Linked DNA regions of Rattus norvegicus. The protein of the gene in region 1 interacts with the protein of each later gene in a pairwise test. Links are inferred from orthologs where the notes say so. Each region holds a gene or a part of one and is shown in the gene's direction. Other genes may lie near its edges.

Region 1 (5,930 bases):
GATTTTAAGTGCTGAGGTCTAGTACTTTGAAATTAATACCCACAAAAGCACGGTGCCCAAACCTTACCGACTGCCTCTTTTTTTTTTTCAAGTGAGACTTAAGACATGTTTAAGATAAAAGTCGATCAAAACTGTCTCAAGCCCAAGTGCTGGTGGCAAATGCCATCACCAAAGCACTCAAGAGGCAGAGGTGGGCAGATCTCGGTGAGTTTGAGTCCAGCCTGATCTACAGGCCTCCCAAAGCTACTCACAAAGAAAACCCTGCTCAAAAAACTGTCTCAAATACGTTAGGGAGTGGTTCATGAATAGTTAATATGCCTGGTACCCCGATCTCCAAACTCCCAACAGCTCCTTTCCCCTACCTTTGTCACTAGCCCCAATATCTTAAAGTGGCCAGTTCAAAGTCAGGTGCTATAACTGCAAGCAGAATACACAAGTCACTTTCTCCTCGCGCCCCTTTTTATCCCTTCCTCCGAATATCTCCTAGTCTAGAAACCTTATTTCTAACCGCTGGATTCTAGTTGCGACGGGACAAGGCCTCAAGGACAGAAAGAGGTACCGAGAAAAAGAAGGTCCAACAACTCTTGGCGGGTTCTTGGGATGAAGTGCTTGCTTTGCCAAATTGTTATGCCTGGGAAGGGAGAACCCGCACTCGGGTGTCCCCTGATCCACACAACCCCAGGACATCTTGGTCAGCCCTCGAGGAACCGAGAACCTCGGTCAAAATCCCCCTCCCCGGGCCATTACAGGCTCACAGACACCTTCACGACCCCACAGCCCCCCCCCCGCAGAAGCCCTTCAAGTCCTACCACGTCACTCCCATGGCGAAGGGTCAAAAGGTGGTACTGCCAAATACTCAAACTCAGAGAATCCAGACCTTCCCACGAGAGGCAGCCCCCTAAACACAGGAAGCGGTCGTTGACCGGCCTCCGGAAATGCGTAAATACTGAGCGCCAGGACGACACGCCCACAGGGAGAGGCATCTCTGGATACACCAGCGGTGACATTTCTAGTACGTCATCGACCCGGCTCCGCCCCCAAAACATACAAGGGGTTGACAACACGCCCTAGGCTACTTTCATGAATTCTGGAAAAGGTGACTCGAACATCCACCTCTTTCAGTGAGATTATCTGAGAATTTGGAGACTCCTGCTCCAAGCCCCGAAGCTCTTCTAGAGATGGCGATATATGAGGAACTTCCGGCCTCCGAACGCTGGGGGGCACTGTGATGCCTCAGTGACCTCTTGGAGACCGGAATACAAGGCGCAAGCGCAGTCTCGTCTCTTAGCCGGCTTCACACGTGTAAACTTTGTGGGCAAGTTTTTCGACAAAAATGCCCAAATTAAAGGTGACACGTGGGGCCAGAAATCAAGAGAGACATGCACCTCTGGCGGAGCAGATTCTGGCTGGGGACGCAGTGCGTGCGGGGACCCGAGAAAAACGGCGGAGACACGGGGTCGAAGAGGAGGAAGAGTATGTGGGACCCCGGTTGAGCAGACGGATTTTGCAACAAGCCCGGCAGCAGCAGGAGGAGCTCGAGACTGAACACGCGACTGGAGATCGGCCGGCAAAACCGCGAGAGCGCGCCACGCGGCTGGGTGAGTGACAAGGGGTGGAGTGGTGAGTTGGGCCGGTCTGATACTCTCCATCGGAATACTGGGTTAGAATTAAAAAGAGTAGGCGGCTTAACTTTCCCGCGTGGTCCTTCACTTCCACTCCTGGGTTTCGGGATCCAGACTTAAGCCAACAGAATGTGATCTCTCACACCAGTTCTAGCATTTATTTATTCTCTGTGCGTTTGAAGTATCTGTGGGCTGCCTGCATAGTGCTTTGAGCTGTGTTAAGTTTTTAGGCAGTTCTGATCCAGAAATAAGATCTTCATCACTCCTGATGGCACCGGAAGTGTAGCTCAAGGCACACATTAAATAGATAATTAGAGTAATATATTCCAGGCAGGAGTGGCGATGCTCACCTGTAATGCCAGCACTCCAGAAGCAAGGCAGAAGGCCTCCTTGAGTACATAGTAAATTCCAGATTAACCTCGACTACATTACATGATAGAACCCTATCTCTCAAGAGAGGGGGAAAGATATTTCTGTTTAAACAAAAACAGATGGACATTAATTCTGTATGGTGGGTATCCCAGGTTTCACGTCCTTCTAGTAAGATCTGAAAAGCAAGTGGGAAGTGTTCCAGTGATGAGGGAGGGGAACGAGTATTGTTCAGAAGCTAAAAGTGGGGTGGGATGGGTGGGTAGATGCTTGGTAATCTGTCTCACTGGGGAGGAACTGTCGTTGACCTCCAGTTGCTTAATCTTCCATTCCCATCTGTCCTAAAAGCAGTGTTTGAATGTGGCTTTAGGGCTACAGCAGCTTTTCTGAAGTAAGGGCTCAAGGAGCCCAGGCTGGCCTCAAACTCTGTAGGGGAGGATGACCTTAAACTCCTGATCTTGCCTCTGTTTTCCATGTGGCATTATAGGTGGTTGGCACCACGCCTGCCCTTAAAAACATTTTGTAACTGAGACTGGGTCTCCTTCAGTTGTTCAAGCTGGACTTGAACTTGCCGTGACCAAGGCAGGCCTTGAGCTTATAGATCCTTCCGTGATGCTGTCAGCAAATTTCACTCTGAAGCCATCTGTTTGATGGCTGCTTCCAGATTTTTCTCCCACGTACGTAGTTCGTCCAAGAGGCTCACATCTTTATTTCCAGTGGTCTTCCTGACAGCTCCAAGTTGAAGACTGGTAGCTGTCGATAGTTGAATGTGTCCACACAGAAGTTCTGACTTCCTTCCCAAACCTGCTCTCTGTTGGCTACACAGAGTTTGTTAGCATGTTAGCCTTCCACTGCTCAAGGCACAATCCAGTGTTCTCTTTCTCACTTCACAGTAAATCCTGATGGTTGTGTCTTTAGAATATATCCAGAGCCAGACCACTTTCCATTAACTTGGAACGCCTCCTGTTTTAGCTACCACAGTCTCCCCTGAATCACTGGGAGAGCATCATAATTTGTATTCTGTAACCTCTGTGGTCCATTCAACAGCTAGAGATCAACAGAATCCTATCTAATCTGCCTCTGTTTCAGGTCTAATCACAAAGTAAGGAGGGGATAAGATAATTCAGCTGGTAAGGAACATGACTTGAGACTCTTGACTTCCACCTACAACAGCTTGTAGTCCCACAGTGTTGAAGACAGATCTCTTGGACCCACTGGGCAACCAGTGTAGCCTAATCAGCTAACCCCAGGTCCCAGCCAGACCCTGGTTCAAAAACAAGGTCATCAGCTCCCGAGAAATAATAGTCAAGATTCCCCTCTGGCCTCTATGATGCAAGGGTTCACTCATATATAAAAAACTAACAACAGCAACAACAAAACACCCCACAAGTGTCAGCATCTGTCTCCTAACCTCTTTTATTCCCCTACTTATCTCATAGCACTTGTCTTCTTTTATTTAACATGTATTTTGTGTGCGTGTCATGATGTGTGTAGAGAACAGAGGAAAACTCTTGAGAATTGGTCCTCAGCTTTTCAGAACACTTGTTCTAGCAGAAGATCCGAGTATGGTTTCCAGCATTCATATGTCAGGCTTGCTGTCTGTAACTCCAGTGGCAAGGGGTCAGATGCCATCTTCGGATCTCACTAGACACCAGGCCCGCGTGTGCACAGACATACATGCAGGCATGCAGGCAGGCACCGCTCACACTTAAAGTAAATCTACAACAAACACCCTTGGCTCTCCCTGAATGTGCTCTGTGGACTCCTTGAGCTCTAGGTACCCTTAGTCCACTTCCAAGCACATGACCTGTTGCTCTGTAACACTGCAGCTAATTTGGCCCATTAGGCTCTTTCCCAGCTGCCTTGCCAGGTGTGTGTGGTGTTTGTCACTACAGGTATGTTGGCACATGGCTTTAATCCCAGCACTCAGGAAGCACCCAGCCAAGGCTACATGGTCAAGACCCTGTCTCTAAAAAAATAAAAGTCAGGATATGTCAGGAATGGCTTGACCCACCTATCCACCTATCGCCCACGTAAGGACACAGAGACATTTTATTATGAAAGCTTGGCCTTAGCTGGCTTGTTCCCAAGTAGCTTATACAACTTAGCCCATTAATACTAGTGTACACGGAACCACATGGCTCATTTCCACTCCTCAGTACCTGTATGTGTTTCTTCCTCTGGCTGTCAAATCCCTTCATATCTCATTTCTTTCCCAGAGTTCCTATCTCTGCCGGAAATCCTCTCCTGCTTTGCTATAGGCCAGTCAGCTCCTGATTAAACCAATGGGACGGAGACAGAGAAGATGTTGTTTATACAACACCTGGACAGGTGATGCTTCACAAAAATAACAATAACAACTGCAAGTCTCCACTGTTACAGAAATCAGTGTGTGAATAATTCAAAGACAACCTTACACAGAACAGGAGCGTTTATCCCAACATCAGGAGCTCAGTGTTAAGCATTGTGGTGTGTGTTTGTGATTCCAGCACTTGGAAAGTAGAGGCCTGAGAACAAGGACCTCTAAGTCATCCTTGACTACCTAAGTCAGCCTTTTAAATGTATTGGTTAATCAGAGTCTGGTGCCACTGACTAGCCCTCAGCCTTCCGGCTTGGCTTTACCTTTCCTTTCTGGTGCTATAGTCTAGTTCTGGCTCTGGCTCCTAATGCCCAACACTGCGACAACACTACTTTCCAGGGTGTACAGCAAGCTCTTGCTCCCAAATTGCCCATCCAGGGCCTCCTCACCCTCACCAAAGTGCCTGTGGTAATTCTGCCTCTACCATGGTTTTAGCCTTAGCACGTAATACAGCTGTACTGTGCAAGCCACAAAGTGGGAAGTCAGGACCCGAGCTACCTACTGTCCAGTTTGATGACAGTACCCATTCCTCGAGGTTATCTGGATGGACCAGGTTCCACGTGTATAGTATAGAATGGCTTCTTCGAGGTCACTGAGGGTAGTGCATCAACCATTATTTCCTGGCATCATCATCTCCTTTTTTTTTTTTTTTTCCGGAGCTGGGGACCGAACCCAGGGCCTTGCGCTTGCTAGGCAAGCGCTCTACCACTGAGCTAAATCCCCAACCCCCATCATCTTCTTGTGCTGTATTTTGTCTCTCAAGATTCCAAGACTCTGGACATGGAAGAGGTGAGCTGACTCCGAACCCCCTGCCCACCATGCTTATTTTGTCATTTCTCTTTTAGGGCCAGGAGTGCCACAGGATGGATCGGATGAGGAGGATGAGGAATGGCCTACCCTGGAGAAGGCAGCCAAAATGACCGTGGTGAACCACCAGGCAGAGGTAGTGGTGGACCCTGAAGATGAACGCGCCATTGAAATGTTCATGAACAAGAACCCTCCTGTCAGGTAGGGTTTGAAGGTTGGGACAGTGGATCCTGGTAGAAAGTTCCCACAGGCCACAGCTGTTGGTCTGACCATTGTCAACAATGGCCCTCCTGAATGGGAATGACCCAGACTCAAAATGCCTTTGTCCGTCTGATCGGGAATTTCATAGGTTACCCAGTTCCTTTTTATAGCAGGGGGCCGTTCTATTGCACTTATTCTTGGTTTGTTGCTCTCATGGCTTAGTCTGTACTTCAGGGCTTTCCTTCTCAGACACGGTGTTTGGGCCAGATACCTGTCTTTGTGCATGGGAGCTAGAACCCAAGGATCTTAACAGCTATCTCTGGCATCTCCCCTCCTGATACCAGCAGTGAGAAATCACTCTACGAATCGCCAGATTTTCCCAGAGGGTGAGCCCTACCTCTGGGTAGAACCACAGACCTATTCCCATGTGTTCTCAAATCTCAATGCTACTTCTGAACATGCAGTACTTAGGCTGCCTGTGGTCAGATTCTTGAGCAGGTGGATCTGGCCCGGTTCAGAGGAGTGGGTTTAGGGCAAAGGGGCTCAACCAGCCTCTTCTTCAGAGTGCGCTG
Region 2 (5,958 bases), on another chromosome or scaffold:
ATTGAAGTATAAAGCCAGCCTTGCACCACCTAGATGACTTCCTGGGTAGAATATTTCCATGAATCACTCAACTTGAAGCTGTTGCAAAAGCTTCTTTCAACTCTGGGATCCTGATTCTTCTGCTGAATGATAGAGAAGAGAACTACACTGCAATAAGGCTAGATGTAAGGTCTAGGTCATCAGACAGTATGTGCGAGACCACAGTACAGCTTCCTGGTAACATCTGTGATAGGATCTTATAGTAGGATAGTAGGGGGATTAGGAAGCAGAGTGCTGAGGCAGGTACAGAGGGTGTTCCTTAGGGAAAAGGCAAACCTAAAATTCCTTGACCTCATAAGGAAACAACTTGATTCTGTATGGGGGGAGGGGAGTACTGAGCATTCATTCTGTATGCAGAGGCCTCTGGGAGAGGGGCCAGCACAGAGGGAGGGGGATGCTGGAAAATCTGATTTTGCCAAAACTAAAAAAAATAAAAAATAAAAAAAATTCATGAAGCAGCTGCTTAATGGGGAGAATGTCTGTCTCTCTGTGCTTCTCTGTGTGTCTATGTCTGTCTGTCTGTCTCTCTCTCTCTGTCTTTCTGTCACACACACACACACAGACACACACACACACTCCTGCCCAAGAACTTTCTCCTGTCTTTCCTTAACACAGTATCTTTTCCAGAGATTCTTACAGCTCCATTTACAGGGATAGAGAGGGCACTGTCTTTTAAACCCATCCAACAGCAACTTTTCTTCATTAAGCACTTTGTATGTGGTCAAAACTGGGCTCCACCTCCTCACCATTGCCTACTTTAAACTTCTATAGAGGACTGGCCAGTGACCTTCACTAAAGTGTCATCAAGGCCAGCCTAGAGCTGACCAGAGTATTCACTATCACTATCATTTAGAAAACCCATGGGTTGTAACCCCTCTAATAAACCTCTATCTCCAAAAATATTTACATTATGACTCATAAGAATAGCAAAAATTATCATTATAAAGTGGCAACAAAAATAATTTTATGATTGGGAGTCACTACAACATGAGTAACCGTTGTGGTCACAACAAGGGTCACAGCATTAGGAAGGTTGAGAATCACTGATTTAAGAGATCAGGCATCCCACACACCTTTTCTGCATGTACCCCCTCTTCTAGATGTCTCCAGTAAAGGGCAGCTTACACCTAGAGCCACATGACTTTTCGTAGAATATAATGGTCATGCTCACTCTTCAAGGCAACCTTTCTCTGATCCAGATCCTTAGTGAGCCTCCGTCAATTCCCATGGTTTACCTTTAGGCCAGCAGTTTGGAACCTCTGGGATACTATTCCTTTGGGTCTCACATATTAGATATCCTTCATATTAGATATTTATAATTTATAATAGCAAAATTACACTTATGAAGTACAACACAATAATTTTATGGTGGTGGTGGGGTCATCACAATATGAGGAACTGTATTAAAGGGTCGGCAGCATTAAGAAGGTTGAGAGATACTGCTCTAGGCTTTGCACACTGTCTAGGCCTCTAAGGTCACACCAAGCTTAGAGACTCTGCCAAAGAAGACTTCTCCCCTCAAAACTCCTCAGGGCCCAAGGTGGATGGAACAGTGAGTTAGGCAGGTACAAGGTGTACCCATCTACATGCATCACATAGCAGGCACCTTCTGATTGTGCCCATTGGCATGCCCTGGACCTTTGGAAAGCTGCTTGGTCCTACAGTGTTGGCGGCCTCTTGTCCCAGTGCTAGCCCCATTTCCTCCCGGATGGAACTAGGCGGCAGAGAGGACGGTGGGAATGGGCCTGTACAGGTGTGCAGGCCAGGGCCATGGAGCCTGTGAAGACCAGCGGAGATGGGTAGCGAGTGCCAGGGGTCTGTGGGTGGTTATGTAGGTGATGAGAGTCCTGTATGACAGCACTTGTGCACACAAAGAGCTCGCAACAGCGTCAGGCGCTGTGGAAAGGTTTGCTCTCAGGATTGGACTCTTCACATTGCTGTGGACCAGACTGTGGCTGAGAATCCTAGGCACTGGAAATCAGGATGAAGCCACAAAGGTGTGTAAGATTTCACAGCTTGGGAAATCACAAGCCAGTTTTGGTCCGCTGAGAACACTTGTCGCCCCTCTAGTACGTTGAGCTTTAGCACCCTCAGATAGCCTAGCTAGCCCCGCCCCTCAGCTGCCTAGCTCTCAAAGGAAGTCTCCGCTGCCCCAAAATCTCTCCCGCAAGCCCCTCCCTCTTCCTGTTCGAGTCAATCTCACACAAGTGTGACGTTTGTATTTGCCAGTCCAGCCTGCTAGACTGGTCTGTACTGGCCGCTCCGGCGGATTTGGGCCTGCCCTGAGGAGAGCGCGCAACCTGCGTAGCAGCGGCTGTGACGCAAACGTGACGGCGGCTTGACGCGCCCACAGCCGCTCTTGAGGCGCTGGCGCTTCCTCTGCTAGGCTCCGAGCTGTCTGTTTCTTGGGCCCTGTGTATAGGTGCCGGCCGCCCCTGGCGTTCAACACCGCTTCCAGGTGCCGGCCGTGTCTGCCATGGACGACTATGCGGTTTTGTCCGATACTGAGCTGGCCGCAGTGCTACGCCAGTACAACATCCCGCATGGGCCTATTGTGGGTATGCTGCAGCCGGTGGCGCTCAGAACCTCTCGGTCCCCCGCTTTCCCGCGCTCCTCCCTGAGCGTTCTTCCTACCTCCTCCTTCCCTCAGGTCCCCTCCCCGTGTTCCCTTGTGCTCTTGGGGTGCTCGGCTCGCACCCGCTGACCGCTTCGCACCCTGTGTCTGGGCAGGCTCCACTCGCAAGCTCTACGAAAAGAAAATCTTCGAGTACGAGACCCAGAGAAGGAGGCTTTCGCCCCCCAGCTCGTCATCGTCTTCATTCTCCTATCGGTTCTCAGGTGAGGCTCCAACTGCACAGCCCCAAAGAGCAGCTTGGGGCACAAGGCGCAGGGAGGGAGGGTGTGGCTGAAGCTACTGAGGGAGTAGGGGGAAGTCTGGAGATTGAAGGTCCTGTACCTTCTCCTCCACATGCAGACTTGGATTCAGCCTCCGTGGACTCAGACATGTATGATCTGCCCAAAAAGGAGGACGCCTTACTTTACCAGAGCAAGGGTAAGGCAGGTGTGGGATGGGCACTGATGTCTTTATCCCATGCTTCAGGGATTTGGGCACAGTGAAACTCCAGACCTCACCCCCTTGTACCAGTTCTCAGTGGCTTCAGAGAGAAGAAACTGGCACAGCACACACACAGACTGGGGGGGGGGGGCGGAAGGTGGCAAGAGGCCAGGTAAGGGGCACCACTTTTTCCTCTACCACTGTTTTCTTCCTCAAGACTATAATGATGACTACTATGAGGAGAGCTATTTGACTACCAGGACATACGGGGAGCCCGAGTCTGTGGGCATGTCCAAGAGCTTCCGCCGGCCAGGGACCTCACTTGTAGATGCTGATGATACCTTCCATCACCAGGTGAGTTGTCTGGTAGGCATACCTGGGGTGTATGTAGCCTTAGGGAATTCTAGGTTTGGATAGTTCAAGGAGATACTAGGTGCAGAGAGTGGATCTTAGGCCTTCAAGTATGGTTAGGATCAGCATACAGTTGTTGGCTCAAAAGTTCTACGTTGGAACCTCCAAAACTATTAGATTTGGGGATGAGCATATATAGCTCAGTAGAAGAGCATTTACCTATGGTTTCATCTCCAGCATCCAGCAGCACACACAAATGTTTTTGGGGTTTTGGCATTTTTAAAAATTTAATTACTTTAATTATACCTATGTGTAGCCAATTTTTTGTTAGTTTGTGGGTTCCCCTCACCCTTTCACCCCCAATCATTAGATAGAGAAAGAGAGCTAAAGATCCCTGAATCTAATTTCTTTCTTCCTTGTGTCTTCTTTGACCCCAGCTACTAGCAAACTGTAACCAACCTCACCTATTGGGGCTCTAGTATTTACATACCCTCTGAAAAATTCCCAGAATTCCAAATACCACAAAATTGCAGAAACTATCTGCAACTCAAAAGCATGAAGCAAATCATAGCTGCTGTAAAACAGCCCCATATCCCACATCTAGGGTTAAAATAAAAACATTCTTATAATATTTCTGTGTTTCTTAAGCCAAATTTCAAGAATTCTCACTACATGTATGTGTCTGTGGGTAGTATGCATGAGTGCTGGTGCCTACAGATGCCAGAATTGTCAGATTTCCCCTTAGATTCCCCTTAGAGCTAGAATGGCAAGTAGTTGTAAACTGCCTGATGTGAGTGCTGGAAAATGACCTTAGGTACCTAGGAAGAACAATAGGTGCTTTTAACCACTGAGGCATCTCTGCAGCCCACAAACTTTTATGATCTGAGCATATATAACAGCACCTGTACTCTAGGATGTAGGTTTAAGCCTCCTGAGAATCCTGGGGAATAAAAGGATGGTGGGACAAAGTTGACAAGGTTTGTAACTGGGTGGCAAGGCCCCACAGTTAAAGAGGGCATGGACCCAGAATGATGGGGGGGCAATTTTCTGCCCCCTACAATGTGACTAGAGTAGGCTAGCCAGAGACATTTGGGGAAACCATTCTTTCCCATTTCTAATCCTAATTATCCGGCAGGTGCGTGATGACATTTTCTCTTCTTCAGAAGAGGAAGGCAAGGATAGGTGAGTAGTGAACACATGTAGGGACAGGGACAAGTTTGACACTCAGACTCTCCTGCCTACCTGTCCCCTTCTTTTGCTACAGGGAACGCCCCATCTATGGCCGAGACAGTGCCTACCAGAGCATCGCACACTACCGCCCCATTTCCAATGTCTCCAGGAGCTCCCTGGGCTTATCATATTATCCTACATCCTCCACCTCTTCTGTGTCCTCCTCTTCATCTTCTCCCTCTTCATGGCTTACCCGACGTGCCATTCGACCAGAAAAGCAGGCCCCTACTGCTGCTCTGGGCCAGGATCGACAGGTCCCACTCTGGGGCCAGCTGTTACTCTTCCTGGCCTTTGCTGCCTTTCTGCTCTTTGTTTACTATTCCATACAAGCTGAAGAAGGCAACCCCTTCTGGATGGATCCCTAAGGGTATTGGTTTCAGAGCAGCTCTTAACAGGAGTTTTGGCTGACTGCCTTAGCAGTGTTTGCTGGGGGTGGGGGGTAGGGGCTTTTTTGTGTATTCTAGTTAGAGGGTACAGGGCCTAGCCTACGGCAGTGCTTGTCTCCACCTCATCTTGCCAAGGAAGCAGCAAATGCTGGCTTTCCACAGCCCAGTAGGCCCGTATGTACCTTCCTCTGGAGCCTCCTAGCCTTATTGCCTCTGACTCTTAGGGTATGGGGATCTGGTGGGGAGGACCTCACTTCATTAGAGGAAAACTTGGTGGTGGCAGTGGTAGTTGTCATGCATGCCTGTTTGTTGTCACCTTTTCAGGGGGTATTAACAAGGCCATCCTGGCTTTGCTTTCGTGGACACAATAATAAACATGTTTATTTTTACCTTGTTGTTTCTTCCTACTGGGATGGGAGCTGGGCTGCCATGGCACACAGGTGCTTGGTTTTAGGTCTCAATAATCAGTGTGGCTTTTCCCTTTGGTTGTGCTTGGTCTTGGGGAAGGAATCAAATGCTACCCATAGATAAGTCTATGTTTTAGTTGTGGGTTTTATTTCTGGGCCAACTCCCTGAAATACTTATTATAACCACTTAGAAAAATAACTACCATGTAATTAAATGTGTAGATAAGCCTATGGGAAATGTAGGCAAAACTGCATATATGATCATATATGCAGATACTTTAGTCAGGAGAGGCTAACACCAACATCTGAGGTTACCAGGATAGAAAAGATATGAGGCATCATGCCAGTACATTGTTCAGCTCCTGGGATTGGTGGCATGATAATAAGATTCAAAGGCTACAGTGCACCCATGGCTATTCTAATTCTTTGCCTGTTTATTCTTGCTCAGTTTTTAGATTTTCTTTGGAGATAATCTTTTTGTATACTGCGT
Region 3 (6,115 bases), on another chromosome or scaffold:
TCCCCTTTACCCTCTCTCCCAGACCGCCTCCCCCTCCCCCAACTTCTATGAGGATGTTCCCACTCCCACCCACCCACTCCAACCTCAATGTCCTGGCATTCCCCTACTTTGGGGAAATGAGCCTTCACAGGACCAAGAGCTTTTCCTCCTATTGCTGCTGGACAGTGCCATCCTCTGCTACATACGCAGCTGGAGCCGTGGGTCCCACCATGTGTACTCTTTGGTTGGTGGTTTAGTCCCTAGGAGCTCTGGAGGGTCTGGATAATTCATATTGTTGTTCTTCCTGTGGTGTACTATAGTTGTCTAGTGTTATTCTTCTTTCTTTCGCTTTTTTCATATGCACTTTGCCACTTTAACCACTTTTTAGTGTACAATTCAGTAGCATTAAGTACATTCACAAAACAAATTATTTGTAGAAAATTTTCAAAAATCCAAGCCAGAAACCATGTATGCTTTAAAGGACATTTCATTTCCTTCTCCCACTGGTCCATAGCATCCTTCATTCTACTTGCCATATCTGTTCCTTACTTACCCTTTTTTTTCACTTACTAACAGCCCAGGTCTTTCAGCAAGCAGACTGACTCCAGACAAATGTAAATAAAGATGCACAGACATAAGATATACATATATAATTATTTTTAACATTTGGGTGGTGAATGTGCCCAGCAGACTTCTGACTCATGAGCTTAAAAGAAATGAAGTGTTTTATTGTGTCAAAGGTCTCATGGTATAGAATTTACCCATCTGACCATGCCAAGAACAGAGTCTAGTCTTGTTAACCATATGCAACACATCTCCATTGTTTGATTTTGCATTTTCCTGATGATTGATCATGTTAAACACCTTATTATCTGCTATTTGTTTCTTCTTTGAGAAATACCCATTCAAGTCCTTTGCCCATTTTAAAACACATGACTTCTTTACATATTCTAGATAGTAAGTCCTTATCCTATATGATTTTAAACATTTTCTCCCTTTCCCAATGTGTCGATTGTGTACTCTGCTGTGTAGGTGTTGGTCCTATGTAGTGTCATTTGTCTGGTTTTGCTTTTGTTGTTTGTGCTTAGAATATGACGCATTAACTTTTACATCTCTCAGCACTGTACTTCCCTTTAGGTAATGTGGTTGGGTTTTCCCCTTCATTTCCACTCCAGTGTTCTCTAGCAGGTTGTTTAACAGTGCTGTTGGCTGACTGCTATTGGTTCCCTGACAAGACACACCCATCTACCTTTTTTTTCTCTTTTTGGATTTGTTCCCAAACACAGTAATGGGAGGCCCATGTGAGAAGGGCTGTTTTTTGTTTTTTGTTTTTTTTTTTTTTTTTGATTGCTTTCTTTTTCCCTCTATGAGTGGTACTAGAAAGAGTATCCTCTGGGGTGGCTTCCTTCTCCCATCTACTTTTTAAGTGGGTGTGGTGGTCTTTGAGCCAACGACGGGTCAAAAGGCAGGCTGTATCCAGACCAATGAGAAACTCCTGGGTTCCGAATGGATCTTAATAGGGACATTGAATTCTTGGATGGCTAGCATCTGCCTCATTGTCCTCTTGGTAATGACCCTCTTGTATTGTTGGTCAATGATCAGAAGGTGCAAAAGAAACCTTACCCCCTTACACTTTTAGTGGCTTCAATCCACCGGAACAACTTGTGCCCAAGGCCAATAGAACATAGCCATTCTCCCTTTGTAAAAAGAAAAAGGGGTTGGGTTTCCTCCAATTGTCTGCCCCTCTCTGTCTCCTCCACTATTTTTGTTTTACTCTCTAGTTAACTTTGCATAGAACAGCTTCACCAGTAGGACCCGTGAGGAGGATCCAGGCACACTCTTCTCATTGGCGAGTGCAACAGCCTTTTCCCTTGCTCTAATCTGGGGGTTTGTGGATGTAGAAGGGAGGTGGGTGGGTGAAGAGTTTGGCCACAGTCTTCCTTCTGTACTTCACACATACCACCCGCTCGCTTGTAGACGCGCAAACACACACACACACACACACACACACACACACACACACACACACACACACACGCCTGTTCAGTCAGTCCCCTTCTCCCCGTGTCTTCCATCAAGATGACAGGGTGCTGGAGAAAAGGCTGCTGGAATCAGCTGGTAGGTACAGTAGTAATCTGAACCCCACCCACCCGCTGCCTTTGCTTGCTCAGGTTTCTCCGGTCACTCCTGCCAGGGGAGAAAACATGTAAGCGCGCCTCCAGAGGAGGGGCACGGGGAGCTGGGAGTGGCGGGGGCGGCGGAAGGTGAGCCTAGGAAGGTGGCCCAGCGCCCCTTCTGCCCGGGCCCCTCCCCGTGCTCCCTTAGGGTGTCAGTCTCCGCTCCGCTTGCCCCCACTCCACCCTCCTTTCGAAGGGATTGCCTTTTTTTTCCTCTGCGGCGGCGGAAATGACAGTGTGGTGCTGCGGTGGTGTCATGGAGCTGCCTCTGGACTGAGAGGCGAAAACTCTTTAAGTTTAGCCCGGGAGACCTAGACGCCGGAACGTCGCGGTCTCCGTGCTGTCTCCCGTGGGGCGCGCGGGCTGGCGGATCCCGGCTGCTGCGCGGCGGCAACGGCGGCGGCGGCCGCAGCGGAGAAGGCGGGCGGCGGCCTAGAGTGGTGGTGGCGGCGGCGGCGGCAGCGACAGCGGCCCGGGAGCTTGCGCGGGAGCCCGAGCCAGCTTGCTGTGGAGGCCAGCGAGCGCACGGCGCTTCCCGGCGCGCGTAGGAGATGGCTGACACCCGGGAACAATATGGGTAAAACGCGTCCCCTCGCCGAGGCCCGGGGGTGGGGGGTGGCTAGTGTGGCCGCCCGCGCAGGGCTTGGTCCCGGCCAGCTCCTGCTGCTCTTCAGGTGCCGCCGGGGCCGGCGCTGGCTGAGGACACTCGGGGTTGGGAGAGTGGGGGGGACCGGACGGGACTGGGTCCTCGAGGCTCCAGGTGGCAGTGGCGGAGTCCCAGTTGTCTGTCACACGGTAGTGACCCGGACTCCTGCTACTGCCCTCGTGGGAAGGAGTTTGCACTCCTAGATCCCAGGCTGGGGAACGGCCCGAGGCCTCCCGCTTGGCCAGGCCGAGCCAGGGGAAAGCAGTGGAGCGGCTTAGCTCTCCTGGCGCCTAGGCGCAAGTCTGGGAAAGGGCGCAGCCGCCTTCCCACGCTCCCGCAATCCACGGCGTCCTCGGCCCGGGCGGCGCCCGGAGGTCGGCGGTTGGCTCAGTGGTGCTGGCGCAGCAGCCAGAGATGCGGTGGACACCCTGCGGGCAAGAGCCCGGGAGAAACTTAATCCCCCCTCCCTTGTTTTCCCCCTGCTGGGGAAGTGATCTTCAAGTCTCTGTCTGGGTGGTTCTTTATTTCTGGCCTAGCTGTAAAAGCAGCGCCGTTGGGGGGAAGAGGGAAAACTTGAGTGTGTCCACAGGACACACTGCGACTGAAACAGAGACACGGGAGCCTTTTTCATTTTGGGCTCCTAAGAATTACTGTAACGTTACTGGTGATGGGCTGGCTTAGGTTGTTTCGCACTTCACGTGCAGCATATTATTTATTTATTTATTTATTTAGGAGGCATTTCGGTTTAGAGCAGGAAATTAGGATCCCGGGATGGTTGGACTCCTCACTTTCCCCTCTCTCTTCACTATGTGCTGTCACTATTCTGCCTCTTCTTATCCCTGCCTCCCATCTAAGCTGCCACATCTCTCCCAGAGTCCCTGCACTCTCAGCTTTTCTCTGTCGACCTGTGCACATCCCAGCAGTGCAGCTTCTTGCTTTTCAATCACTTTGAATTTTTTTTTTTGAAGATTCTGGAGGGTGGGGCTGGTGAATGGCATTAGTTGTTTGTCTCTGAGGAGTATTTATGAAGCAAGACATTGGAAACTGTAATAGGAGACAACTATTGTGTGGGGATTAATGAGATTCTCAAATTGGACCATAAGGGCTGACTTTAATCCCACTCCATTTCCTCTCCGAAATCGAATCAGCTCTGACAATATTCCAATAGAAGATGGAGTTGGCAAACGAAGAGTTCACACTCTTGCTCCCTTCTGCTTAGGGAGTTTTGCTGTATCCTAGATTCCTATCCCAGCACCCCCACCCTTTTCACCTCCTCCCCACTCAGCACTGCCCCGAGGGAGAATCGATCTTTGCTATTTTTATATATTCCTGCTCAATCAATTAGCTTAATACAGACGCATAATATGAATTAGATTTCTCTTGATTGTTCCTTACAAAACTTGATTCATGTGGTTGAAACACAAGCCTAGGAGCCTAGAAGATCAGAGAGTTCATTCCAAATGTGACGTTGCATTGGCTTTACGGCCTTTAGACATTTGTATGACCTCTCTTTCACAGATGCTGCACTTGCATAAAAGGCATAATATTGTGTACTGGGTATTGTGAGTATTGGCTTGGTCCTTTGAAGATAAAAGGATTCTATAAACCTTGGCATTATACTTTCCAGTGAAAGCATTTCATTTATCCCTTAGTGGGTTACTGGATTGACTGGATATAAATGGGAACACTAATTTACACAAACCTTAATTTGCCCTTATTAGTTCCCTTGGGATTCAAATTATCATTGTAATTTAGATCTTAAGTCAATTTGTTTCGCAAATGTATGTGCAACTGAATGGGAACATATATACAATTAGGCATAGAAAGTAATGGTGATGATTTTAAGTCGAGTCATAAATCATATTGATTACACTTTACCCTAACAGTCTGAGTCAGACTCATTTGAATATTCAACCTCACCCATTTTTTTAGCCTATGCGGAGGGGAGTTAGTTAATGCCCAATAAAAAGTGTCACAGATAACTTTAGGTCTGGCTATAGAAGCACAATTAGCACCTAGCAGCCATGAGTCAATATTTTTTAAAGCACCTTTAATGCACAGACACCTCTGCTGGCTGTGTTGAGGGAGGCCCTGCACTTGACCCAGTATTTTGGGCTCATATTTGCCCTATGCTAAACTCTACTTACATCTCCAAGGCTCGATCAGGTCAGGGTGCGTGATGTGTGGAGTAGGGAGAGAAGTTACAGGACATGAAGAGCTGTCTCTCCTATTTACTTTCATGACTCCCGTGATTCCTACCTAGCATGTTGTACCTTGCAAGACCACTTCTGAGAGGCACTTGCTGCAAATGAGTGGCTTGCTTGCTTCACAAACATATCATCTGAACAGTGCAAATTGACTTAGATAAAATTGGTTTGGTTAATCCCTCCTCTAAGAACAGGGCAACTTGCTCCAACTTGCAGGCCTTAAAATAGTGCTGGTGGAGTGTCATAATTGCATCCAAGTAGTGTTCTGAGTAGTGAGCCTTTCTATTCCCTCCTCCCATAAAATCTGCTGACACCGCAACAATTAGGAGGGAGACTAGAGAAGAATGCTTTTGTAATCACTCAACAAACCTCATCATCTTGATGAAGAGTGAAGAACACTGTCTCTGATTGTTAGGTCCCTTAGAACTAGAATTTCTCTTTCTCAACAGGGATGTAAAACCCCAAAAGACAAAGTCAGGGATGAGGCATACAATTATGTCTCAGGTGACTGTTTTAAGAGATAACTGTTTGGCTTTGTCTGTCTGTCATACAATCTTTCTAGATTTTCCTAAATTTCTAGATATTGGCCATGGGACTCAGCTGCTAGAAGAGGTCTGAGGGGATAGGAGGATGCTCCAACTCCATTTAGTATTATTGACTTTTTGTTCTGTCTTCTATACAAAAGAAAGCTGTGTCTATGATGTGCGTAGTGTCCTTACATGAAATACTATATCATCAAAGTGTGAGGTATAACACGTTCATGATGGATAGAACACAGTTCAAGAGGTTTGAAAGGCAGTCACTTAAATTTTAACAGTTCTTTATTTGCGTGCCTCTGACCATGTATATGGTACATGCATATGTGCCATAGCATACATGCAGAGGTTAGAGGGAAACTTGTGGAAATCTACTCTTTCCCTCCACTGCATGGGTTCTGTGGATCTAACTCTGGCCACCAGTCTGGGTAGTTAGCAAGTTTACTTGCTGGGCAGTTTCACTAGCCCTAAATATAGTCACTGTTTTTGAAAATTGGGTACAAAATATGATATTGTGCTGTCTGTATTTCCAGATCCTTAATAAATACATTGATCGTCACTGAGTGGTAA
Region 4 (5,877 bases), on another chromosome or scaffold:
TCATGGGGCAGCGGTGATGAGTACCTAGAATCCCAGCACTTGGAGGAGGATGTAGGAAGATCAGAAGTTCAAGGTTACCTTCTGACACTTAGAGTTCAAAGAAAGCCCAGGATGCCTGGGACCTTGTCTAGAAAATCAAAAACTGTGAGTGAGTGAGTGAGTGGGTGCGTGCGTGTGTGCATTTAATCCCAGTGCTCAGGAGACCGAGGCAAGTGGATTTCTATGAGTTTGTGCTTCACTGGGTCTACATAGTGAGTTGCGGCCCAGTCAGGGCTGTATCATGAAACCCTGCCTTAGAATGATAAAATCAATCAAGCAAGTCAACAAACAGACCCCCCTTCCTCTGAAACAAATAAACAAACAAACAAAAACCTAAAGGAAATTTAAGATGGGGCTTGGAATATAGCTGTTAGTGATTGAGGTTTACTCTCCAGTACCACTCCCTGCAAAGGGGGGAAGACATCCTGAAGTGAACTTTATCTATTTAAAGTGGAAGAGATTATTCCAAGAGATAGTCAAATAAATGCATGTGAAAGTGTTTTAGCAAAGCCAATTCATTGTGCAAACGTGTGTATACTGTTTGCTGTAAGGGCCTCAGCCAAGGAGGATGTCATACCTCATGGCTGACCTAAGTGTGAGTGGGCGAGTTTTATGTGGTGTAAACTCAGTCCTCAGCCTGATTTCTGTTCCTTCCTGCCTCCCTTCTCTGCCCCTAGGCGGTATGAAGCCCAACACGTTGGTGCTCGGTTTTTATGATGACGCCCCACCCCAGGACCATTTTCTAACAGACCCAGCCTTCTCTGAGCCTGCAGAGGGCACCAGAGAGGGCGGGTCGCCAGCCCTGAGCACGCTGTTCCCTCCACCTCGGGCTCCTGGGAGCCCCAGGGCTCTCAGTCCCCAGGACTACGTGGCCACCGTGGCAGATGCTCTCAAGATGAACAAGAATGTGGTTCTCGCCCGAGCTTGTGGGGCTTTGCCCCCGGAGCGGCTAAGCCGGGGGTCCGGTAGCAGCGCTCAGCTACATCATGTGGACGTATGGCCCTTGAATCTGTTGAGGCCCCGGGGTGGACCTGGATACGTGGACGTCTGTGGCCTTTTTCTGTTGCAGATGGCTACCATCTTAAGCATGGTGCCTGCCTGGCACAGTGCCCGGCTCCGGATCTTTCTGTGCTTGGGGCCCAGAGAGGCTCCTGGGGCAGCAGAGGGAAGGCTCCGGGCCCTGTTGAGTCAACTCAGGATCCGGGCAGAGGTGCAAGAGGTGGTGTGGGGTGAAGGGGCTGAGGCTGGGGAGCCTGAGGAGGAGGAAGGGGACTTTGTGAATGGTGGTCGAGGAGACGAAGAGGCAGAGGCTCTAGCTTGCAGTGCCAATGCCCTGGTGCGTGCCCAGCAGGGACGAGGCACAGGAGGAGGCCCTGGGGGACCAGAAGGAAGGGATGGAGAGGAGGGACCCACCACAGCCCTTACCTTCCTGTATCTTCCTCGACCTCCTGCTGATCCTGCCCGCTACCCTAGATACCTGGCACTGCTGGAGACCCTAAGCCGTGATCTGGGTCCCACCCTTCTTATTCATGGTGTCACTCCGGTTACCTGTACTGATCTCTGATGCCTGTGCATACAGTGTTGGATAGATAGAGAGGGCCCAGGCCCATTCTCAACAAGGGACGCCCTCCCCCGCCCCCAATGGGCCCTGCCCTTTTGATGATGTTTTAAGGGGACCCTGGTCTCCTTTGGGTGGCGAATGGACATAGTACACTAATTCTAGGTGGCTGCCCCATTGTAGGGGAGGACATTGCGGCCCTGTTCCTGGTCTGCCTACGCTTCCTTCACTGGTGCCTTGACCAGAGGGGCTGGTCTCTTCTGTGACTCTAGGCTACCTCAGTGTCCCCATCCTGGCCACAGACGCACCACCTCCCTCTCCCCGACTTCCTTGGGTGGTGATGTTTGTGTTTTGTTTTATTTTTCTAACTACTGACCATAAATAAAAGACCAAAACACTATGGGCTGGTGGAGCACTGCTGGTGGGTAGATGAGAGGGAGCCGGGTGGGAAGGGAGAGATCTATGAGGGGGTGGAGACTTTCAGAGTCCCGGCCAAGAGGCTGCCACGTGCAGGACTGGGGCAGGGATCTGAGAGAATTGCTGGACCAGAGCCTCTCGGAGAGGCCTGCAGCCCACCCTAGGCTTGGCTCCGGAGGAGGGCGGTCCTCACTTAACAGGAGGGGGCCAGAGAAAGGAAGAATCGTAGAATAAGGCTTGGGGGACCACGTGACCCTCACCAGGAATGTGGTGACGTCAGGGGGCGTGGTCCTCTCCAAAATTGGGGAGGAAGGGAAGAAAAAAAAAGCCAGAAAAAGTTTCTTTGCTGGAGTCCCAAACGGGGCGTGGGGCCGAAAGGGAGGGAAGGGGCTCAAGGGCCCGGCCGCTGGGCTTGTGGGGGTCCTGACCTCTGTCTGGAGTGGAGCAACCCTATTCCAGACCATGTCCGGGCCCACCTGGCTTCCCCCGAAGCAGCCAGAGCCCTCCAGAGTCCCTCAGGGGAGAGCGCTGCCCAGAGGAACCCTGGGTCCGCCAACGGCCCATGGAGCAAGTAAGTGTTCCCCTTTCCCACACCCGGGAGTGGCAGAAGAGCCATTGGCCACTTTCCTTAACCTTTTCTTCCTTGCCTATCTGCTTCCTGCTGTCCCTTCCCCAAGCCAGAGTCCCTTGCTCTTGTGCAAGTTTCCCTAACTCTTGGTCCATCCCCAGACTCCCAGGTACGTGAAGGAGAGCTGCCTGAGAAAGGCGGCTTTAACCAGGGTACCCTTCTCCGCTCTCACCTCCCGTCTCCCCCTTTAGCGCTCCAGCCTCACCCCAGGGTCAACTTTTGCCCCCTCCCACCTGAACAATGTTATCAGCCTCCGGGGGTACCGGAAGATCGGGGGCCTACTTGGGTGGGATCCCATGGAGCAGCCCAGCGCCTGCAGGTGAGAATTGGAGGTGAGGGTAGGATCAAGGTGAGAGAAGGCTAGGTAGGGGTTGTGATCGGTATTTGTTCTTCCTGTTTTGGCTCTGTCTCAGGGGCTCCCTCCAGACCGGGGAGTCATCCACCCTGGAAGTCTGGACGCTGAGATAGATTCGCTCACCAGCATGCTGGCTGATCTGGACGGGAGTCGCAGTCATGCACCTAGGCGACCAGACAGACAGGTGATCTCCTGTGTTCTGTCTCTCCTGTGTCAGCCGATTCTCTTTTGTAGATTCTCAGCCTCAGTCCGCCCTCTTCACTCTCCGCCCACCCTCTTTGCAACTAATAAATAACTGGTTCAAGGAATCATGAACTTCCTTCTTGTTAGGCCTAACCCATGGGAACTTGACAAAAGTCATGGCTCCCGAGATTCCACCTGGCGCGCATGGATCTTGGATCTGGCCTTACTGTTTGTGCATTGTTTGTCTTCCCAGGCTTTTGAGGCTCCTCCACCCCATGCTTACCGTGGAGGCTCCCTGAAACCCAGCGGAGGTGCTGTTCCAGCCCCGATGCTCCCAGCATCTCCCTATGGTGGACCTACTCCAGCCTCTTATGCTACCGCGAGCACTCCAGCTGGTCCTGCTTTCCCTGTTCAAGTGAAGGTGGCTCAACCCGTGAGAGGCTGTGGACTGCCCAGGCGGGGGGCTTCGCAGGCCTCTGGACCTCTTCCAGGCCCCCACTTTCCTCTGACAGGTCGTGGTGAAGTCTGGGGAGCTGGCTATAGGAGCCACCGAGAGCCAGGACCAGGGGTTAAGGAGGGAGCTGCTGGAGTTCATAACCCTGCAGGAGGAGGAAGAAGAGGTGGGCATGAGCCTCAGGTAAGCCAGGGGGTGTGGGCACGGTGGTACCTGGTCATTGTAGGTAACTGGCCGTTGGTTAGGTGGTGTGGAGGCTGAGGGATTAAGATACCGTTTTTAGGAGACGCAGTTCAGTTGGTAGAGAGTTGGTAGAGTCCTTTTTTTTTTTTTTTTTTTTTTTTTTCTTTTTTTCGGAGCTGGGGACCAAACCCAGGGCCTTGCGTTTGCTAGGCAAGCGCTCTACCACTGAGCTAAATCCCCAACCCCGGTAGAGTCCTTTTTTATTATGTAGGAATCCCAAGGTTCTAGACCCAGCACTGTATAAACAAAGCATGGGGGAGGTAGAGGCAGGAGGATCAGTAAATTAAGATATTTGGCTACATAATGAGTCCAAGGCCAGCCTAGGCCATATGAGACACGCTCTTAAAAATAAATATAAGTCAGTTGTGGTTTTAGGGTACTTAGAGGTCAAGGATTACGATGTCCAAAGGGAAGGGGCTTCCTTCCCTTGTCAGCCTGGGAGATATTCTCAGAGGAAATTTCAGGGTTCCTGAGCTTGTGGGTTACTTACGGTGTGTGAGGTCGAAGCAGCACTGCAAAGCCCTGTTTCTCCCTGTAGGGCCCCTTGAGCCAGCCTCCAGAGGAGGAGCTGGAGAGACTGACCAAGAAGTTGGTGCATGACATGAACCACCCGCCCAGTGGGGAGTACTTTGGTGAGCTGACCCGCTGGGTAGGATGGGACGGGGAGGGGACAGTGGATCCGGTGTCCTGGGTCTGTGGAGACTGATCTTGTTCCCCTCTGTCCCCAGGTCGGTGTGGTGGCTGTGGCGACGATGTGGTTGGTGATGGAGCTGGGGTTGTGGCCCTGGACCGTGTCTTCCATACTGGTTGCTTCGTGTGTTCTACCTGTCGGGCCCAGCTCCGAGGCCAGCACTTCTATGCCGTGGAGAGGCGGGCGTATTGTGAGAGCTGCTATGTGGTGAGCGGTTGGGCTGTGAGAGGGTGTTGCCAAATTGGGAGTGTCAAGATTTGACAGGCAGGTTTCTATCCAAGAGAGGGCCAGGTACTCAGCTGGGTGGGCCTGGAAGCTGGAGATTCAAGCTGAGGTACAATGAACTAAGTATGGTGGCTCAGGCCTGTCTGGAGGAGAACATGGGCTACGGAAGCGGGTTGGAAGCCAGCCCAAGGCACAGGTTTCCGAAGATCGATTGATCCATCAACCAAAAGAACACTTTGCGTTTTGTTTCTTGGATTGCCTGTTTGTCGTTTTGAGATAATACGTCGTGTGTCCCAGGCTGGCCTGAAACTCTTAGGTATTTATAGCTAAGGAAGACCTTGGGTATGGGGATTCCAGGTGTGGGCCACCAGATCTGTTCTTTGTGGTGTTAGGAATGGAACCCAGGGCTCTTGCATGCCGGACAAACACTTTACCAACTGAGCTACAACCCCAGATTAAGGAATGAGTTAAATGTGGACACGAGCTGAAGGAGAGGAGGAACAGCTCGTGCTGTCTAAGTGGGTGGCCACCTTCCTTCCTTCCCTCCTTCCCTCCTTCCCTCTTTCCCTCCTTCCTCCCCTCTTTTCCTCCACCTCTCCTTCCCTTTCTCCCTCCTTCCTTCTTTCCTTCCTTTGAGACCGAGTCTCACTACGTAGCCTAGGCTGGTCCTGAAGTTACAGTCTTCCTGCCTCGGCTTCCGAGAGCTGAGAAACCAGATGTGTGCCCAGCTAGAAGGCATTTTAGAGTTGAGGTAATTTGTAAAAGCCTCACAGCATTCCTCAGAGGCAAGCACTACTGACTCATCTCACTGAAAGAGGAAGTGTGCGGAGACCAGATTCCTTGTCTAGAGGCTTCAGTGCCCGTATGAAACCTCAGAAATGCTAAGTCCACCTTCCACTGAATGCTCTGCGGGGAACTACACACACCACGTGGTTGGGCAGAGAGTACGCCTTCCTGGCTGGAGTGGCTTTTCCCCCTGACCTTCCTTCCTCTTTCCTATTAGGCCACACTGGAGAAATGTTCCACATGCTCTGAACCCATCCTGGACCGAATCCTGAGGGCTATGGGGAAGGCTTACCATCCT

The links.
Region 2: the proteins of Bysl (region 1) and Emd interact in binary tests that used the Homo sapiens proteins (3 or more experiments, as listed by UniProt). The two-hybrid records come from large-scale screens. The link is inferred for Rattus norvegicus from reciprocal best matches to the Homo sapiens genes BYSL and EMD.
Region 3: the proteins of Bysl (region 1) and Mid2 interact in binary tests that used the Homo sapiens proteins (3 or more experiments, as listed by UniProt). The two-hybrid records come from large-scale screens. The link is inferred for Rattus norvegicus from reciprocal best matches to the Homo sapiens genes BYSL and MID2.
Region 4: the proteins of Bysl (region 1) and Trip6 interact in binary tests that used the Homo sapiens proteins (3 or more experiments, as listed by UniProt). The two-hybrid records come from large-scale screens. The link is inferred for Rattus norvegicus from reciprocal best matches to the Homo sapiens genes BYSL and TRIP6.

Annotation. Positions count from the first base shown.
Region 1 is NC_086027.1:20,879,076-20,885,005, forward strand, and holds the start of Bysl (bystin), read left to right. Parts: upstream 1-1,265; 5' UTR 1,266-1,333; coding exon 1,334-1,598; intron 1,599-5,195; coding exon 5,196-5,358; intron 5,359-5,930. Other genes in the region: Med20 (mediator of RNA polymerase II transcription subunit 20), read right to left, coding at 810-823. UniProt on the Homo sapiens protein: Required for processing of 20S pre-rRNA precursor and biogenesis of 40S ribosomal subunits. May be required for trophinin-dependent regulation of cell adhesion during implantation of human embryos.
Region 2 is NC_086039.1:157,188,030-157,193,987, forward strand, and holds Emd (emerin), read left to right. Parts: upstream 1-2,408; 5' UTR 2,409-2,515; coding exon 2,516-2,597; intron 2,598-2,689; exon of another isoform or gene 2,690-2,769; coding exon 2,770-2,877; intron 2,878-3,013; coding exon 3,014-3,091; intron 3,092-3,311; coding exon 3,312-3,448; intron 3,449-4,580; coding exon 4,581-4,627; intron 4,628-4,709; coding exon 4,710-5,040; 3' UTR 5,041-5,420; downstream 5,421-5,958. UniProt on the Homo sapiens protein: Stabilizes and promotes the formation of a nuclear actin cortical network. Stimulates actin polymerization in vitro by binding and stabilizing the pointed end of growing filaments. Inhibits beta-catenin activity by preventing its accumulation in the nucleus.
Region 3 is NC_086039.1:109,141,255-109,147,369, forward strand, and holds the start of Mid2 (probable E3 ubiquitin-protein ligase MID2), read left to right. Parts: upstream 1-2,565; 5' UTR 2,566-2,729; coding exon 2,730-2,733; intron 2,734-6,115. UniProt on the Homo sapiens protein: E3 ubiquitin ligase that plays a role in microtubule stabilization. Mediates the 'Lys-48'-linked polyubiquitination of LRRK2 to drive its localization to microtubules and its proteasomal degradation in neurons.
Region 4 is NC_086030.1:25,020,632-25,026,508, forward strand, and holds the start of Trip6 (thyroid receptor-interacting protein 6), read left to right. Parts: upstream 1-2,327; 5' UTR 2,328-2,476; coding exon 2,477-2,585; intron 2,586-2,833; coding exon 2,834-2,961; intron 2,962-3,055; coding exon 3,056-3,181; intron 3,182-3,433; coding exon 3,434-3,817; intron 3,818-4,415; coding exon 4,416-4,509; intron 4,510-4,605; coding exon 4,606-4,775; intron 4,776-5,796; coding exon 5,797-5,877. Other genes in the region: Slc12a9 (solute carrier family 12 member 9), read left to right, coding at 717-1,603. UniProt on the Homo sapiens protein: Relays signals from the cell surface to the nucleus to weaken adherens junction and promote actin cytoskeleton reorganization and cell invasiveness. Involved in lysophosphatidic acid-induced cell adhesion and migration.